3 linked regions of the Coturnix japonica genome follow. The protein of the gene in region 3 binds, or shares a complex with, the protein of the main gene of each other region. Links are inferred from orthologs where the notes say so. Each region holds a gene or a part of one and is shown on either strand. Other genes may lie near its edges.

Region 1 (6,273 bases), on a different chromosome or scaffold from region 3:
CACAGCTGCCATCCAGACCGGGTCCCCTCAGACGCTCCATCGCTGCCCACCAAGGGGAAGGGGCCGCCCACAGTGCCCGGTGGTGCTGGATGGCTGCCGTAGCACTGTGTCCCGCTCACCCAGCACAAGTCCTGCCTTGACCGGGGTGCAGCCGCGTGCTGTGGGGCCGAGCACTTACCGCAGAGCAGCAGGAGCCCTCGGGAGAGGCAGCCAGAGCCCATCTGCGCATACGGTGCCATCCTGCTGGAGCCTGCGGGCTAGCGACCGGGACAAGGATTTCAATGGAAATAACAGGAAGCAACTCCTTTCCTCTGACAGGGGCTGTTTGAACTACAGGAGACGTGTGAAAAATGAGATTACTTAGTGCTGCTCTGAGGCAGCCCTCCCCACAGGACCCCACCGCTGTGCAGCAAGTGTCGGACCCCCGGGCATCGCCCCACACCTCACCCTGGGCAGCAGAGGGGCTCCCGCAGCACGGCCGCTTCACAAGGCCGCTGTTTGTTTACTTGTGTATTTCTCTTTAATCCTGTCTGGGCTGGGTTGTGAAATCCCTCGTCTCCTGCGTGGAGGGCAGGCAGCCCGGCAGCGGGGGGAGTGGACGGTGGAGCAGGACGTCCCCGGAGGGTTCTGCTGGAGGCTCGGGGTCGTTACGGCCCCAGCCCCGTGTTCATGGCGCCGTGTGGCACCTGCCCCGGGGGCACGGGTGGGGCTGGAAGGGACGGCGGCGGTACCACGGGTGTGCGAGCCTCAAGCAGGCAGGAGGAGAGGATGGGGCGAGGGACTGTGGCTGCAGAGCTCCTCTTCATCCCGTGCCACCTCGGCTCCCACCTCAGGGCAGCGCGGTGCTGGCTCTGCAGGGTCCCCACCCGGGGATGGAGCTCAGGCCACGCGAGCTCATCTAACTGCTTGCCAAAGGCTGAGCTCCAGCCCAAAGCTTTCCCTTTAAAATCCACTCATGGGACTCACAGAGCACAAATCACACAGCAGAGAATTGCAGTTCATGGGGACCCTCCCTGCTTTGGAAGGATTCTATTGCTGTGCTGCACATTCCTGCTGCAACACACTGCACGTGCTATGTGCAGGCTGAGGCAGCCGCCACCCTCCTGGCACTTGGGAGCCCTTCAGCGGTACCGGGAGCCCACGAGGCTGCGGCACAAAGTCACAGCCCCATTCTGCACTTTGTTGTCACAGCCCTGGAGCTGCAGCCGGCAGCAGGAGCCTCTGCCAGGGTGACACCCGGTGATCTCAGCCGGCCACTCCTTGCACAGCCGGGGCAGTCTGCCAGCACCCACTGCTCCCCAGCCCCATTTTGCAAGCTCCCCCCAGCCCTTGGCTGCAGTGCTGTGAGGGGGACTCGACTGAGCAGCGGGGGAAGCATTTCCCATGTTCTGGGCTGGGCTGCAGCCGTCCCGAGCCCTGCTGCCAGCCTCGGCCCATGGCACAACGGGCACAGACGCAGCCTGGACCCCGCCTGCTGCTTTGACTCGCTCTGCAGCTGCCCACGTTGCGCTCTGGGGCTCAGCGCAGTGTGGGCAGTGAGGCTGCGGGGGTTGCGCTGGGTCCAACCCAGACCCCAGGTTCTGCCGGTAGTGGGAGCAGGAGCCGCAGCCCCGACGAGCATCTTCCCACCGGCTGCAGCTTCCCCCCGTGCCGGGGCGTATCACCGAGCTCATCTCGGCACCTTCCACCCGCGCTCAACCCAATGTCAGGGAAGGCGGAAGGTTCTGCCCGACTCAGCAGGACGGGCTCAAAGGCAGCAGATACGGCCAGGACCGGGGCTGAGCTGTGGGATGAGCAGCCAACGGCCCCGCTCACTGCCCGGACAGGGACCCGCGGGTTCCCCCCGCTCCTTCCGGCTGGGCGGAGGGGAAGGAAGGAAGGAAGGAAGGAAGGAAGGAAGGAAGGAAGGAAGGGGCCCGGCCGGGAGCGCGGCTGGGGAAGGGAGCGCCCGGCCGCAGCCCCGAGCAGAGCGGGGCCGGGCGGAGCCGAGTGGAGCCGGGCGGGGCCGGGCCGCGAGCGGCCGGTTCCGGTGCGGGGCGCCGCCCTTCCCGGTCGGAGCCGCAGCTCCGGGGCTGCACCGCGCGGGGCGGGGCGGCGGCGAGGGGCGGGGCTACGGCGGCGCATGCGCAGTGCGCGGGGAGCGCGGCCTCCCCCGGCGCGATGGCCGAGGAGTGAGTGCGGGGCGGGGCGGGGCCTGGGGTCCGGCGGGGGGCGGGGGGCGGCCCGGCACGGCGGGAGGGGCCCGGGAGGGAGCGAGGGGTCGGCGGGGGTGGGGGATGGAGCGGGGCGGTAGTGCCGTGGTAGTGCCGTGGTAGTGCCGTGGTAGTGCCGTGCCCTGTGGGGGCTGGCGGCTGCTCGTAGGGGGCAGATCTAAGTCCCCTGAGGCCCCGTGGGGCCCCGTGGGACCGTGGGCTGTTGTATGGGGTGCGCCGGGCCCGATGGACGGGGCAGCGCCCGGGGGTTGGGTGAGGCCTGGGAGCGGGCACCGGGCGGGGCAGCGGCTGAGGCCTGTCCCGGACACTCCGCAGTGTCACCGTCCCGGCAGCCACCGGGGGTCCCCGTGTCCCCTCGTGGCTGGAGGCTGCGGTGATGGGGGCCCAGGGAACCCCCGTGGGTGGAGTGGAGCGGCCCGCTGGGTACGTACAGCCCGGGCCGGGGACTCAGACTCCTGGATGGGAGCTGAAGCGTCCCTTGGGCTCACAGGGCGATGCCCGATGCCCAAACCCCCGGCTCCAACTTCTCCATCAGGTCGCACTGTGTATTCCCAGCCAGGAGCTGTCCTGTGCTGACAGCCTGCGCAATGTCCTTCCCAGCCTCCTGGCAATGAGATATTCTGAGCTGGATGTAACACTGCTCCTGACATGTTGGCCTCCCAGCGCCCTGTGAATCGAAAGATTACAAGCAGGAAGGAGAGCTGCTTGGACAGCGACAAGACAAGGGGGACTGTCCATAAGCTATAGAGGGCAGGCTTAAGTCAGATGTGAGGAAGCAATTCACTCCTCAGAGGTGGTGAGGTCCTGGCACTACTGCCCAGAGAGCTGTAGGTGCCCAAGGCCAGGCTGGGTGGGGCCCTTGAGCAGCCTGAGCTGGTGGGGGCACCCAGCTCATGGCAGGGGATGAGGCTGGAGGGGCTTTAAGGTCACTTCTAACTCATCGTTCTGTGAGTTTATTCTTACTGTATTTTCATAGAAAAATGGAAATCGCCACTCCTCCAACATCAAAGTGTATTATGTATTGGAAAAGAAAAGTCAAGTCTGAATATATGCGTCTCCGGCAGCTCAAGAGATTTCAGGCAAACATGGGAGCAAAGGTAAAGACACAGTGGCTCTGGTTGGAATGATCTCTGCTATAGACTTCAGTTTGCAGTATTGGAGCTTTTATCAGATGAGTGATGCATGATGAGAACTGTGAAGTGAGTGCTTCTTTCTCTCATTTCAGGCTCTATTTGTGGCCAACTTTGCAAAGGTTCATGAAAAGACTCAAATACTTAATGAAGACTGGAAGAAGCTTCGAGTTCAACCAGTGCAGTTAATGAAGCCAGTCAGCGGGCACCCCTTCCTAAAACAGGTAGGGAGAGCTGTGTTAGTATCAGTCTGTGCCTAGCACTCTTTCATGGTGCAGGGTAAAAACAGCTTTTACTGTCAAACACGGTGAGTGAACGCAGCCTTTGCTATGTTTGCCCTGAAGTGCTGTTTCTTTCTGTGATGGTGACAATCTCCCAGAGGCTGCTTCCTCACCGTCCTTCTCACTTCTACCCTAGTGTACAGTTGAGAGCATTTTTCCAGGATTTCCAAGCCAGACACTGTACATGAGGACGCTGAACACAGTGGCGCTGGTGCCTATCATGTACTCGTGGTCCCCCCTTCAGCAGAACTTCATGGTAGGTGGGAATACTCTCTGGTGCAAGGTCTTTGTGAGATTATTGTGTAACCGCAATGTCTGCTCAGGAAGACATGGTAGAAAGTTGTGTTGTGTGCTTTCCCTCCAAGCATGCAACACAACTTTCCCTTTTGCTCCCTGCTAAAACACTCCTCAGCTTCAGATGTATTCCTTCTAGAATGAATTGTCGTTTTGCCTCCTTCACTGTTCCAGTTTTACTCTCTTAATCACTACAACTTTGACATTTTTGGCTCTTCATTGTTCTTGGCAGTGTGTGTGTTTCTGTAACCTTTGGATACTGTTCTCTTCTTTTTAACATCAAATGCATTTTTTGAGGTTAGAGTTATTCTGATAGAATGGGATAGCAATGAAATGGCAGTGGTGAGACACATGAAATTTGAGCTGGGGAGGCTGAACATTTGCTTTATGCAGTGTTTTCTGCATGCAGTGGACGGGAGCAGCCTTAGAGACACAGCTTGGCTGGGAATTAGAAAGCGCTAGTTTACTGAATTGTATCTAATTGCTTTTCAGGTGGAGGATGAAACTGTTCTGTGCAACATCCCTTACATGGGAGATGAGGTGAAGGAAGAGGATGAAACCTTCATTGAAGAGCTTATTAATAACTATGATGGGAAAGTTCATGGAGAGGAAGGTAATTTGGGAGCAGAAACACTTAGCAGTTCAGTTTCTTGCAAGTAAGATATCAAAGTAGTTAAGAAATCACAAGATGGTAGCAGTAACCATCTTTTATCTGAGAGCACTAAGAGCAGAAAAGCAGAAATGCGTGCCTGCAGTTCTGGTTTATAAGGATGCACTCTTGGCTTTTGATCCCCCACTCTGTTCTAGACTCAGGATTAGGTGGAGTTCAGCACCGTCATTTCACTTGTGACCCTAGCCATGACTTGAAGCTTTTCAGAGACAAAAAGTCTGCATGCTTTCCTAGCTCATCATAAAACTGTGTAGAGGGTGGAGTGCAGCAAAAAATTCTGTTGTATGGGCTATCTTCAGGTCTCCAAAAGTGTTACAGCACTCTTAGGGCTCCAGAGCATTAAAACTCTACCCGTCCCTACAAAATCACCAGGAAAGTTTTTGTTTATAACTGTGTTGTGTGGCTGAAGAACATCAGTGGCCCTCCTACAGACTGACTGACATCACTGTATTTCAGAAATGATTTCAGGGTCAGTCCTCATCAGTGATGCTGTCTTCCTGGAGCTCGTGAATGCCCTGAATCAGTACTCAGATGAGGAAGAGGAAGGACACAATGATTCTGAAGTCAAACAGGAGGATGGGAAAGAGGAGCTGCCAGTCACAAGAAAAAGAAAACGAATTGCAGCGGAAGGTGGGTTTGGCTACAGAAATTAGTCGTGTGTTGGTCGTGTTTGCATCCTACTTTGCCTGAGGGAACACCAGAACTTCTTGCAGATGTAGAAAACTAATGTATGTAAATCCTGTCCAGGTAAAAATAAATGGTGATATTCCTTAAGAAATCAATATATTATCTACTCTGAAAGCAGTGGAGTACCATGTGGAAGTGCTTTAGCCTGCTTTCAAGACAATAGGTTATGTGTAATTGCATTTCTGTCTCTTAACCTGCAATCCAGAGCACCTGGAATCACTCTCAGGAAAAAGGCAAGTTCTATTCATGTGCAGCGTAACTGAGGAGTCATCTCTTTTTTTTCCGTAGGTAACAAGAAGTGTTCCAAGAAACGGTTTCCAAATGACATGATATTCACTGCCATTTCTTCTATGTTTCCTGAATATGGCTTCCCAGATGACATGAAAGAGAGGTAGATCTCTCCTTAAGTTGTTTGTTACTTTTGATAGGGGCAGTTAAAACGTGCATTTCAGAAAACAGCGCTGCGCATGTAGAGCTCACTTGGCTTCAGACACTCTGGGAAGGTCAATTTTTGAGTATTACAAACTTTGTTTTAGCTTAAAGATATCCAAACCAGAGTCATAAGATCTGTAGTCACGTGAAGTCCTGTTAAATGTCCCAAATTAGGAAAGCATACACATCTGTGGGTGTTTGTTGAATAGGTACCGAGAGCTCACAGAGGTGTCGGATCCGAACGTGCTGCCCCCGCAGTGCACTCCCAATATTGACGGGCCATGTGCAAAGTCAGTGCAGCGGGAGCAGTCCCTGCACTCCTTCCACACGCTCTTCTGCCGGCGCTGCTTCAAATACGACTGTTTTCTGCATCGTAAGTGCAGGCTCACTGGGTACTTTCCTTTTCTCTGTGTTATTGTCTGTTCTTTGTGCTCCTGTTGGCCTGGCCTTGGCGTCTGTGCTGCAGCTGTGAGAGGGTGGTGGCTCCCTGGAGAGTGCAGTGGAGCCTTTAGGAGCTGAGTATTTTTTGGTATTTTGTGGTATTTTACTTCCCATGTATTCCCTCT
Region 2 (6,066 bases), on a different chromosome or scaffold from region 3:
AAAAGTACCCACATATAAATGTTTTCTTTTTTCTTCATTATGTTCAAAATGCCCTGCTAATCTAACAGTCAGGACCATAATTAGGGGGGAAAAAAAAGTCTTGAAGAAAGTCTGAACCACATCAAGCAGTCTCTGTAGAGCAGATGCCATGCCTCATAGCAAGAGCCCAAAAGCTACACGAGACAATATTGGACCAGGCTGCAGAAGGAGATCAGTTCCATCGCTGCCGCTGTTACAGCTCATAGCTGCAGGCAAGTAATTTAGACCTCTTTCTGTTTCATCAAACAATAAAATGGAGGGAACTCGGCTACACTGCAAAATGAGCTGACGTTCATACCACCCTTTAACGTGCACCGCATTAACAGTTATTCTACATCTACAGGAAGGGTATGGGTAATATATTTTTAATACTGGCTTAGTAGGCCTCATAAGAGAAGGTGAGAGTGCTTAATGAACATTAGAAAGTCTTCACAGGGGCCTTGATTCGCTATAATTCACTCTGGACAGCATCTCCTGGCTCACAGTCTGTCAGAGCAAACAGGATCCTATTGGGTATTTCAGTGCAGAGCGTTTGTTGACAGCTAAATGTAAACGTTTGCTATAAATTAAAAACAAAAAAAACAACTTGGAATTACTAGTTTTCTGGTTACGTGCTGTCATGCACAACATAATGCTTTAGTCTCAAGAGGCCAGCAGGAGGTTAAGAGGAATGCAAACTCGGATCTCGACAGTGGCCAGCATCCACACACCGTGAGCTCAAGATACACACGTATCTAAAAAGAAATGAGTTCAGTGTGCTACAGTGCTGGAAGGGGTGCAGTGCTGGGGCTGTCTGTCAGCCCAAAAACAAAAAGGCTTCTTAAAGTTACTGAAACAAAACACAATGCACACTGAACCAGGATGCTTCTACCCACACTCAGAGGTGGATTTATGTCATTTCTTGTAGGAAATGGCCTCACTCAGAACTCATGTTGGTGTGAGGCAGGCGCTGCAGGCTGTGGGAAACAAGAGAACCCCACACCACAGGGAAGCCCTGGGGCACACATACATCCCCTGCTTGGGGTTGCTGCCACGTGGTCACTGTGCTCCAGCTCCAAGGGGACCCCACGCCCCAGTGCCAGGGCCCAGCAGTGCCACTTGGCTTCATGTTGGATATAACCAGCGAGGGTGCCGCTCACAGGACCCTAAGGACACAGCTATGAACGATTTATCAAGCACTATGTGAGGCAGGCAGTGCTCGCCCCACCTCAAGTAGGCAGATAGGTGGCTCTGCTTATAGGCCACACCAAGGCTACGTGCATCACCACGCAACACCTCAGAAGGGATGAGGGGGAGGTACACAAGGGGATAGTCAGGATACCTCTCCTCAGTGGCATTCTGCCATCTGTTCCCCTGGCAGAGCCGGGCAGGCAGGTTGGGACAGTCATCCAGACCTCAATGCGCAGAGGCCCAGGGAGGGAAGAACAGACGATGCGCTCTGTGACAGCACAAAAAACACACACCTGTGAAATTACAGTCGAGACTTCAAAGCTTCCCGTTTAAGAACTATTAATTCTGAGCGCATACCAAATGCAGTCTGGCTTCTCAGGTGATGCTTTACAAAGCTGTCAGCTTTCTGAGGCTGGAGCCAAAAGGCAATATTTGATATGTAAAGATGTTTGAGAAGGAGGAGGATGAAGCAAGATGTGAATGAGTCAGCCACAGCTCTTTTAAAAGCAGAACGATCGTGTTTTTAAGGAGCAGAAAAAAGAGGAAAAAATAACAACAGAAAAGAAGCATTCACACATTTCCACATTCATGGGTTATCAGCTGGGAGGGCCACGCAGAGTTTTGGGGAACTTCTCATAACCCCTCATGGCAAAGCAGGGGAACTTCTCATAACCGCAGTGAGTGAGGATGGCAAATCACCCCATTTTTCTCATCATCTTTCTGCTTTGGGGATTCGCTTCGCACACACCACAGACCTGAGAAGGCTATGCTCAAAAAGGGCAGCAGCATGACACTACCCAAAGGTCCTGGTAGAACAGGGCATGCCATGCGATGGAGCTGCATTGAGTGGAGCTGGGGGAGGGGGGGGTTTACATACCCCAGAATGGTCCCCTGCTCTATCAGTGTGGGTTAGTGCTCTGCTCCACAGCCACCCCACACCAAGGGCTCCACGGCTTGTGCCTGGACTCGGGTAGGGCAGGGTGGGCTGGCAGCCACCTGCAGACAACAAAAACCCCTGCGTGGCACCTGACGGCCTGGAGCTCGTCCCCACGCGGTGCTAAGCCGGCCGGGCAGGATGACTCCGTACATCCCCGCACCTGCTCACACCTGGGGCCGCCCCCACCCCGCGCCGCCCCGGGGCCTTCCCCCATCTCCCCCGCCCCGCCTCGGCTACGACGTCACGACGGAACGCTGAGCCGACGAAGCTTCCACGGCGCGTAGGCCCTTCCCTTTGTGACGACACGGCCGCGGGGCGAACCTGGCCGGGCGGCGGCGGCGAGGAGGAGGAGGAGAAGGAGGAAGGAGGAGGAGGCGGCTGCGGCGTGGCCGACAGCCGTGGGGCTTCGTCACAGCCCCGGCAACAGGTTGCTGCCGGCGGCTGAGCGCCCGCCCGCCCCGCAGCGGGGATGTCAATAAAAGGAGAAAAAAAAAAAAAATACACACGGGGAAATACGTGTGGAAATGAAAGGGAAACGTGAAAATGAAAGGGGAGGAAATCAAAGGATAAAAAAGTGGGAGTGGGGGGGAATAAATAAATAAACTGGGAGGAAAAAAAGGAATGATTTGGCTTGCAGGAGAGAAGTTGCAAGTTGAGAGCACGCACACACCGCGCTGCCCCCAACGCCCCGTGTGCCCTTCGGGCCGGGATCCGGAGCACCCCCCGCCCCGCTCCGCTTTGTCCGCCCCGTGTCCCGCAGCCGGCGGCGGGGGCAGCCCCGCTCCCTCCGCAATGCGGATGTCTTCGCCTCGACCGCCGGCCCCGGGCTGCTGGAGGAGGGGGGGGGTCCCGGGGAGGCACCCGGGGCCGCGCTGCGGGAGCGCAACTTTTGCCGTGCCACTACACAGACATACACGCGGACCCTGCTGCCCCACACCGGGGGCCGTGGGGCTTTTTAGGGCCGTGGGGCTTTTTGGGGCCGCGCTGCCGCTGCGCTGGATGCTGGGCCGCTCCCGAACGCAGCGGGGCCGCGGACATCCCCGTGTGCCCGGCGGAGACAATCGGCGGCCGCATTAAAAAGGCGACGCCGGGTCCTCCCGCAGCGCCCCGTTCCGCAGGCGGGTTAATAACGTGGGATCCTCCGGGATCCGACGGGACCCGGCGGGTCGGCGTTCCCCGTCGCCGTGTTGTGTCACCTGAGGTCAGCGCTGCCCGGAGCCCAGCGCGGCCGTCTCACCCCCCCCCCCCCTCCTTCACCGGCCCCGAAGTTGACGTTCGCTGCCATTTCCTAAAAGCGCGGAGAGTCAAGCGAGAAAGGAGAAGGGATCGGGGACTTACGTATTTCTTTTGAATTATATTCCTCTTGGGTCTTTCTTTGCTCATTCTGGTATCCAAATTGTGATCGCAAAAAGGGACGATTGCTTCATGAATTACGGCCGAGGCGATTCGGAAAAAAAAATAGAAATAATAAAATAAAATAGAAAATAAAATACCGAAAAATCCTCGGAGGGGGGAGGGAGGGAAGGAGGGAGGGCTGCTCGCGGCGGTCTCCGTAATCCCACTTTCTTCCCCGCACAATGTGATCCTCGTAGCAATAAATCCGAGGTGCGGGGATGGAAAAAAAAAAGAAGAAAAAAAAAAAAAAAAATCGGATGCGAAGGGAAAAATAGTAATAATACAAAAATCACTTCAGCGAGACATGGTCACGACGAAACAACCCCCCCCACCCCCCCTTTTCCTCCTCCTTCCTTTCTCGGCTCTGGAAAGCGACGCCCTTGCTCTCCCCTTCCCTCCGCCTGCAGGTCCGTGGCGCCGGGGCCGCCTTACATCTTGGAGGAGGCGCGGGGAGGCGGGCGGCGGCGGCGGCGGGGCTGCTGCTGCTGCTGCTGCTGCTGCTGCGGCGGCGGCGCCGGCACAACTCGTCGCGGTGCGGGCTGCTCGCCCCGTGTGCTCCTCCGGCTCCCCCCGAGCCAATGAGCGCTGCGCTCCGGCTGCAACTTTAAATGGACCTGAGGCTTTATTTTTTTTTTTCCTTTTTTTTTTTTTTTTTTTTTAATATATATGTCTGCGTGTGCGCGCGCGTGTGTATATATACACACAGACAGGCACACGCACACGCACACACCGACGGGCAGCGCTTAGGGCTCGCACGCAACTCCCAACCGGGCTTTAACCGCAACGCCGCCCTCACCGCCTTATGTGTATACACTGCAACGCCAATGCAACTTGGCGACGCTCCCTCACCGCGCGGCCGCCCTCCTCGCTCCCCGCCCCGCCCCGCCTCCTGCCGCCTGGGGTTGTCCCTCTGCTCGGCTCCCGGCTACGTTCTCCTCGAGCCTTGGCCGTGCGGCGCTGCCAGCCCCCGCTCCGGCCCGGCTCGACCGGTGTTGCTCGGCTTGGAGCCTGAGAACGGTCCCTTCGCTGTCGGGAAAGTTGTAGTTCCCTCACCACAAAATGGCGACCGGCAAAAACTACACCTCCCGGCGTGCTTGCTACGCCCCCCCTCCTCTCCTTCCGCACTTGGTTTCCCCCTCCTGTGTGCCTGCTTCCCTTCTTCCCTCCCTGCTGCTCTCGGGGGTGCGGGAGGAGGAGGTGGAGAAAGAGGAGGGAAGTTTATTGCCGGAGGGGAGCGGAGGACAGCTCGGCGCCGTGTGAGCCCGCCGGGACTCATGTGTCTGGGCTGCTGAAAGAGGCCCGAGGGGTCGAGCGTGCTGTGGTACCGCTGTCTCTTTGCCCCGGCTCTTTGCTCATCGCCGCCGGCCCCGTGTGTCCAGCTGCCGCCGGGGTGGTTCGATGGGGTGTGAGTCGGAACGGCAGTGTCAATAAAAGCTATGGGAGAACTGGACGCGAGGAGAACCGTGTGTCTTCAGACACGGCGTAGAGCTTTGGGAAGGGGGTATCGCGAATAGAGGGAGCAGCGATGGCTTCCTGGTGAGGTGTTAGGAAAGCTGCTGTGTGTTATTGGTGCTTTGCAGTGCAACTCAGTGCAAAGTGAGGGAACGCAGCTGGTGTATAACTCTAAATACGTTTATGTGCTACTACAGGTGCTCATCCCTGCTCCCCAAATGCAGGTTTCCAAGTGTGCTTTATGTTCTGCTGGAAGGCTGCAGGAAGACCTCACTGCAGCCTTCTACAAGCTGACCATGCTCAGCTCCCTCAGCCTGTCTTCATAGAAGTCCTGCAGCCCTTGGATCATCTTCCTGGCCCTCCTCTGGACCACCAACAGCTCAGTATCTTTCTTGTGCTGGACACAGTACTCTAGATGGGACCTCATAGGGCAGATTAGAGAGGGAAATATCCTTATTTTCATTTTGTTTCTTTGTATTACTAATTACTTTAGACATTTTTTTTAGTCTTCTTAGAAAGTAGTTAAGCCGTGCTCGGCCTCATCTGTTGTCAAGCCTTAATGGTAATCGTGTTCATCTTTTGAAGACTTTTCTGTAGGCCTCCTCTAAGAAAATGCACATTGTGTCCAAGAGTCTTTATGAAGAGAGATCTATAGCTCATTTAAATAGAAAATATGACAAATTCTCCTAGTATTCTCCAACTTTCTGCCCTCATTGATTTTTATGATGATATCCGTGTAGCTTGAAGGCCTGGGACGTATATAGAACAAAGCACTTCCATCTCAGGTTTTCTGCAGTTAAGAATGATGAGTCTCTATCTCCTGGAGACTTCTTAGGAAAACAGAAGAGGCAAAAATGGTCATTGATGTATCTCTTAAGTCAGTCATTAAGCAAAAAGTTATAGTACGTCTCCTACCTTGCTTTTCTCAAATAGAGTAGGGTAGCAAAACAAACGTGTCCCCCCCCCCCCCTACAGATGCTTTGGAAATTACTCCTAACTGTTTGTAAATCCTGATGTTGCTGTGTCTGGTACTGGCTTTTGTACTATATGTAGAACAAGACCCTACTGTCACT
Region 3 (5,606 bases):
TCTGAAAGAAACTGAGTCCAGTCCCACTACAGGGAAGAAATGGTAAATACAGCAATAGCACTGACGCTGCACTTCAAAGAACAAAGAGCCCCCACCAAACGGGACCCAACCCTAAATCACATTCCAAAGGAAACCTCTTAGAACATTTTCCTCCATTTTAAGAGAACAGTTATCAGAATATTATGAGTTGATTAAAGCTGAAGCCACCCCTAATTGTATTTAGGGCTTTATTTAAGTACCACCTTTCCTTCCTGTCAAAAACAGAATAGCTCATTGGTAAGAACATGCAACTTAAAATATAACAAACAACCACCGTTGAAAGTCACAACTGCTTTTGTGTCCTTTTTCACTTTCAACATTTGCAAACACTCAATGCTATCAGTTTCCAACATTATGTTCTGAATAGGGTTTAGCTCATCCGGAGAAAGCCTGAGTATTCCCACAGCCTTTTTGGAGTCCTCTCCAACTCAATTCTCCTCTCCTACAGCTTTTCACACTACCAGGCCCACACACATGAGATACACAGGCCCACACTGCTGCTGCCACCTAAGTGCTAGTTCATGCTGTGCTAGCAGTTCAGATGAACTAGAGATTAAAACCTCCAGTCTCACTTGTCATCTTTCCCCTCATCAGTTTATTTTGCTACAAAGGTATTACATCTGTTCTCCAGGAATAAGAACAATATATATATATTTTTTCTTTTCTATAAGGGGGAATTAATCATATGTTACAGACTAACGCTTGCAAACTACTTGCCAGCTCCAGGTCTCATTGTTCTGCCAATTTCTAAGTACAAGCTTAGTCAATACCATTTCAAGCTGAACAGGTAGGCCACCTACACAGAGAATTTATGAGCTTCCCAAACTGGAACGCAGAGGCAAATGCAATATCCTGAAAGATAAAATCCAGATCAGTATATTCTTGAAAAGTCAGTAGGAGACAGAACTATTTATCTCCTTAATTCAATAAAAAAAAAGCACTAATATGTTGCCAAAGACTGTACTTATATGTATGTAATACCCTAATGTATTCTTTTCCATTAAAATGTTAGGGTAAAGGATAAGAGAACAGTAGGAAAAAGGAGCCCTAGATGGTTAATCTTTAGTAAATACAGTTACTAAACAGTCCCACTGTTCACACAATTATTCTGCAACATCTTAGACTACTTACACAGCACACAAGCATTAACGTTTCAATTATGCACACACAAATGTTTTATCCCTGGATGATATTCAATAGCTTCACTACGTTTCTAGTCAGCATAAAAAAGGATGAATAGAGCTTCAAGCACACACACAAAGTGTCAAGCAAGTTACTACGTATTTACACACTAGCTGTACGTAGAGCAATTCCATGGGCCATAACCAAAAGCTTATTGAGGTAAATAATTAAAATGGACAATTCAGAAAACTTTACAAAAATACTTCTTTTTATTGAAAGCAGCAAAAGTTCAAGCAGAACAATACACAGAATGTAAACATCACTAAGTTCAGCTCCAGCCTGCTGAACCTTTGAGAAAAGTCTACGCTAAACGCATCTACTGTACTAGCAAGTTAACAGACTATATTATAATCTGAAAATATATATTTTCTACTTTGAATTAAGAAAAAGTAACTTATCGTAGTCTGTCCCAGCGCCAGATACTGGCATCATCACACACAGCTATAAGGATACTACTATCCCTGCTAAAACTGGTTTGTCGAATGGCAGCAACACATTTAGGATGAGTAAGAGTCGTACACCTATAAATAAAAGAAAATTATTCAGCTGCAATGTTAAACCTGCACTTGCTGCTACTACATTATGGAGTGCTGTTTCACCAAATACTTATGCGACCTTGAATTCAGAAGGTAGCAGGATTATATCACAGTGTATTCTGTATTCCAAATTTGGACTTGGGAAAGCACTGATGTCTGGTTCACCCACTGCCAATTCTCATCCACCCAATTTTCACAGAAGCACTGATTAAAATCTTATTGAACTGTGTTATTTAGGACTTTGTAATCAATGTTCTTTTCCAGTTGTTTGGAGTAAAATATGGCCACTGGGCAATTCAAGACTGCAGCTTTTTTCAGCAATTTTGTATATGAGTGTCTGTATTTTCACATATGCACACACAGGCATTACTGGATGTACACAAATATACTGTACATGTGTTCAAACATGCAATAAAATTACCTGGCCACGCAGGCAAGAAACTGAAAAGCCATATTGTTTCCTTCAGGTTGTGCTCATAGCTAACCTTTGTACCCTCATTACTCTAGTCCTTCCATCTATTCCTCCTAATTGCTCCATAAATCTACCTAATCAGTGTGCAAGCAACTGGAGGAAGATGCATCCTTTCACTTTATCTTCATACACTGCTCAACACAATTTGATTGGTACCTCTTGGCACTATTGTAATGTGAATAATAGAATGGAAGAGCAAATAAGTAACCTCCAGGGGCTCAGAACATTTAATTACCTAGTAGTAAGAGTGGCTACCACTGTTTAAGAATATCAGTAGTTATCAGTAAAAGAAAGAGGAAAGTTCCCCAAATTCCTGTCTCAACAAAAAGAAAACTGAGCATTAAGTACTCACTTGGCTTTATGAGGATCCTCTATTTCTAAATCCCAAACGTAAAGTTTGCCAACCTGATTGCCAAGAGCAAGCATCTTAAAAAGAAAGCAGAGGATAGAGAAGTCTTACAGTATTATTCAAAAGACATGAAACTCATAAAACTCAAACTTTAATGAAGACTCTACAGTTATGTTTACATGTTTGAACATTAATTGCTTAACAAGTTTGATGAAGTGGTTGGAAATCCTAAATAATTTGCTTACTTTCTCCCATATTATTGTTATCTACCTCTGCAGATAGAGGAGGAAGATACCAATAAACGTAACAGTTTCCCATAAAACCACTTGCAGCAGACCATTCTGCTACTCAGACACCACATCACAGGTACCAAAACTTCCCATACACAGAAACATGGAATAAATGAAGGGCTACACACCTTCAGGGACAGCAAGGTCCAAGCTCACACATACCTTTTGCCAGAAATCCATTGAAAACCTCATGTACCATATATCACACTGGCTGTAATCGAATCTCCCAAGTATGGTCACATTTGACTCACTTGGCTTGATTTTATCTATATCATCTTCCATTTTGCCAGGTTTCCAGCACACAATGGCATTTTCACAAGACTAGGGAGGAAAAAAAAAAACCAAAAAAAAACAATGAACAACAACAAAAAGCGTACAACATTCAGTTTTAGGAGAACACACATGCACCAATTTCTGCCAAAGATGCAATGCCACCATGTAGTTTAATGTCTCCGAGCAAGCAGTGCTAGTGTTATCACACAAATCCAAGGAACTCCATTGCATGAATCCTCATTTCTCCTTTCAGCTGCAGGACCCTACATGAGTAACTATATATTCATTCTCTTTCTGTACTCCTCATGCAGAACACGGGTAGTTGACATGTTGCTACTTCTAGCACAGTTCTGACCACTGAACTCATTTTACTTTTGATGTAAAAGCTGCTTATCTACACATGCAAACAGACACCAAAATCTTTAACATAAAATCATTTCATGCAGCATAATAAGTTAACCTACAATTCGTATTCTAGTGAAACTACTACTGTTTAAGAGCCTAAAAAAGCAAATAAAAGCAAGGTAGCTGAAAAAGCTTGCACTTTACCTTGGAAAGAATTAGGTCACCCAACCATCGTACACAGTCAACATAGTTCCTATGTATGTCTCTTGTAGAAAAGTCAGGAAAGTGGATTTTCTGGGAAATAAAAGGTCTATGGAAAAAAAACAGCCATGTAAGATTCAGGGAAACACTGAAATACAAGCCTAATTTTCAATGACCAGTTTTAATATATTTCAATGATAAAAGGACAGGTCTGTCTTTTTTGATCTTTTAACAGTTTTGCTGCAAAGTAGATTTTGTCCCCTAAAATGGGAACTGTCCATTTTCATCTCATTTCTACTGAAATAATTTACTTTCCCAAATGCTTGATTATAAAAGACTGTACCAAAGCAATACCACTCCTTCAGAAACTGCGCACAGCTCCCATTGCTAAGTACCTCAAGAACTAATTAAACCTCCACCTTCCTGATGCTTATTTTGCAACATCTAGACTGTTAAACAGAAAAGCACAATAAAAAAAAAGAAATATTTTTACTTTTTTTTTTTTTTTAAGCATCATTTAATATTTGGTAACATTACCAAAAAAAGCGAGAGCATTTTCACAGCTAGTCTCATTGCTGAACACGTTCAGTGTGTTTTAGACTCTTCAATTCTCTCAATGGTTTAACTGGAAGTTAAGATTAAAGAGTTGATGAACTTCGTCAGGAGAAATTTATCTATCATATAACTAACCACTGTATTTAACTGACAATTTATGTGAATCTGAAGTCAGATAGGACAATGACAAAAATTAAAGTTAATACTACATAAGGAGTTGTCTTTTTCCAGCCCCTGAGACAGATAACAAATTCAATAATTAGAGATAACTACACAATATAAAACTCAATTGCTTACTACGTTTAATAATTGGATTCCCTCCTAGAAATTTGGAAGTGGGAAGAAAAAAGGCACTGACACATCTTAAAACATGATGTAATACAAGCTTTAAGACTGATAAAGATGATAAACCCAGACGTTCCCTACTCAAGTAAATAATGAAGATGTAATTAAGATATTCAAAAATAAAAGTGGTAGGAATGTTAATGAAATTTAATGAAGTTCTACTGAAGCAAACAACAAGAAGAGAGATCTTCAAAAGAGATTCAATGTCAAGCACAATCCCCAGGTCACTATCTCCAAGAACTTCCAATGTCTACAGGAATGAATCTGGGCCATTGATGAGAGTTTTTATTTTAAAATCTTTAAAAAGAACCCCAGAAAGCCAAGAAGATGAAGACTACATACCTGTTTGTTTTATTTGGGTTGTACTCATAAGACTCTTTGATGGCATTTATCATTCTCTTGGAATTAATTCTCCAAAGTTTGAGAGAGTGATCCATTCCACAAGACATGATTTTTTCACCAAGAAGATCATAATCCTATGTGTATGAAATGATTTTGAGCACCCCCAGCCTAAGCTGCATTATATCAACTCAGATTTTATGCAAACATTTCCATCAAAACAGCTTTTTCTGTGTAAAGAATGCAATAAAAACTGCATATAAGTTAATCTCACTAACTGCAAAGAAACACGATCTCTTAATAACCACAGTTACTCCCTATCAACAGAGGCATATTCAGCAGCACCGACAAACAACAAATCTACTGCTAGTGCTCCCTTTTAGTCAGTTTCCTAGGTTTCATTTTATAGAGGAATCCTGACACAACTCCAGAGCTACTGTATGGATATGACTACAAGAGAACACAGCATCAGGTCTTGAATAAATATATATCTCACCATTCAAATCCCACAACAGAAAAGGAAACAACTGTTATGAAAAGTGTGCTAAAAGTCAGCTGCTCTAGTCAGTATTTACTGGGTACCAGCATCTGTTTGTAGCCACTGAAAAGCAGCATAACTTACCTGAAAGAACTTCTTTCCTTCACTACCATGCCTCTAAAAGATCTGTTGCTTTGGCTTG

What was found. Proteins that work in one complex are often made in the same cells at the same time.
Region 1: the proteins of EED (region 3) and EZH1 are in contact, whole or in part, in a cryo-EM structure (PDB 7KTP), measured with the Homo sapiens proteins. The link is inferred for Coturnix japonica from reciprocal best matches to the Homo sapiens genes EED and EZH1. Residues at the interface, in NP_003788.2 of Homo sapiens: Cys84, Val85, Asn86, Ser87, Leu88, Lys89, Glu90, Asp91, Trp103, His104, Ser105, Lys106, Glu107, Val112, Arg120, Leu123, Tyr124, Gln129, Gly130, Glu131, Ile132, Arg133, Leu134, Leu135, Gln136, Ser137, Tyr138, Val139, Asp140, Tyr154; in NP_001982.2 of Homo sapiens: Gly37, Ala38, Lys39, Leu41, Tyr42, Val43, Asn45, Phe46, Lys48, Val49, Gln50, Lys52, Thr53, Gln54, Leu56, Asn57, Glu59, Trp60, Leu63, Arg64, Val65, Gln66, Pro67, Val68, Gln69, Ser70, Met71, Cys83, Thr84, Ile85.
Region 2: the proteins of EED (region 3) and JARID2 are in contact, whole or in part, in a cryo-EM structure (PDB 6C23), measured with the Homo sapiens proteins. The link is inferred for Coturnix japonica from reciprocal best matches to the Homo sapiens genes EED and JARID2. Residues at the interface, in NP_003788.2 of Homo sapiens: Pro95, Phe97, Tyr148, Arg306, Asn307, Tyr308, Cys324, Asp362, Ile363, Trp364, Tyr365, Arg414, Asp430; in NP_004964.2 of Homo sapiens: Pro109, Gln114, Arg115, Lys116, Phe117.

The regions. Positions count from the first base shown.
Region 1 is NC_029542.1:4,628,651-4,634,923, reverse strand, and holds the start of EZH1 (histone-lysine N-methyltransferase EZH1), read left to right. Parts: upstream 1-2,308; 5' UTR 2,309-2,589; coding exon 2,590-2,636; intron 2,637-3,189; coding exon 3,190-3,310; intron 3,311-3,438; coding exon 3,439-3,567; intron 3,568-3,760; coding exon 3,761-3,880; intron 3,881-4,410; coding exon 4,411-4,531; intron 4,532-5,044; coding exon 5,045-5,218; intron 5,219-5,563; coding exon 5,564-5,666; intron 5,667-5,916; coding exon 5,917-6,080; intron 6,081-6,273. Other genes in the region: RAMP2 (receptor activity-modifying protein 2), read right to left, coding at 179-239.
Region 2 is NC_029517.1:67,903,826-67,909,891, forward strand, and holds the start of JARID2 (protein Jumonji), read right to left. Parts: upstream 3,966-6,066; 5' UTR 3,485-3,965; intron 1-3,484.
Region 3 is NC_029516.1:170,408,433-170,414,038, reverse strand, and holds the end of EED (polycomb protein EED), read right to left. Parts: intron 5,064-5,606; coding exon 4,930-5,063; intron 3,797-4,929; coding exon 3,691-3,796; intron 3,190-3,690; coding exon 3,031-3,189; intron 2,656-3,030; coding exon 2,582-2,655; intron 1,743-2,581; coding exon 1,616-1,742; 3' UTR 1,406-1,615; downstream 1-1,405. UniProt on the Homo sapiens protein: Polycomb group (PcG) protein. Component of the PRC2/EED-EZH2 complex, which methylates 'Lys-9' and 'Lys-27' of histone H3, leading to transcriptional repression of the affected target gene.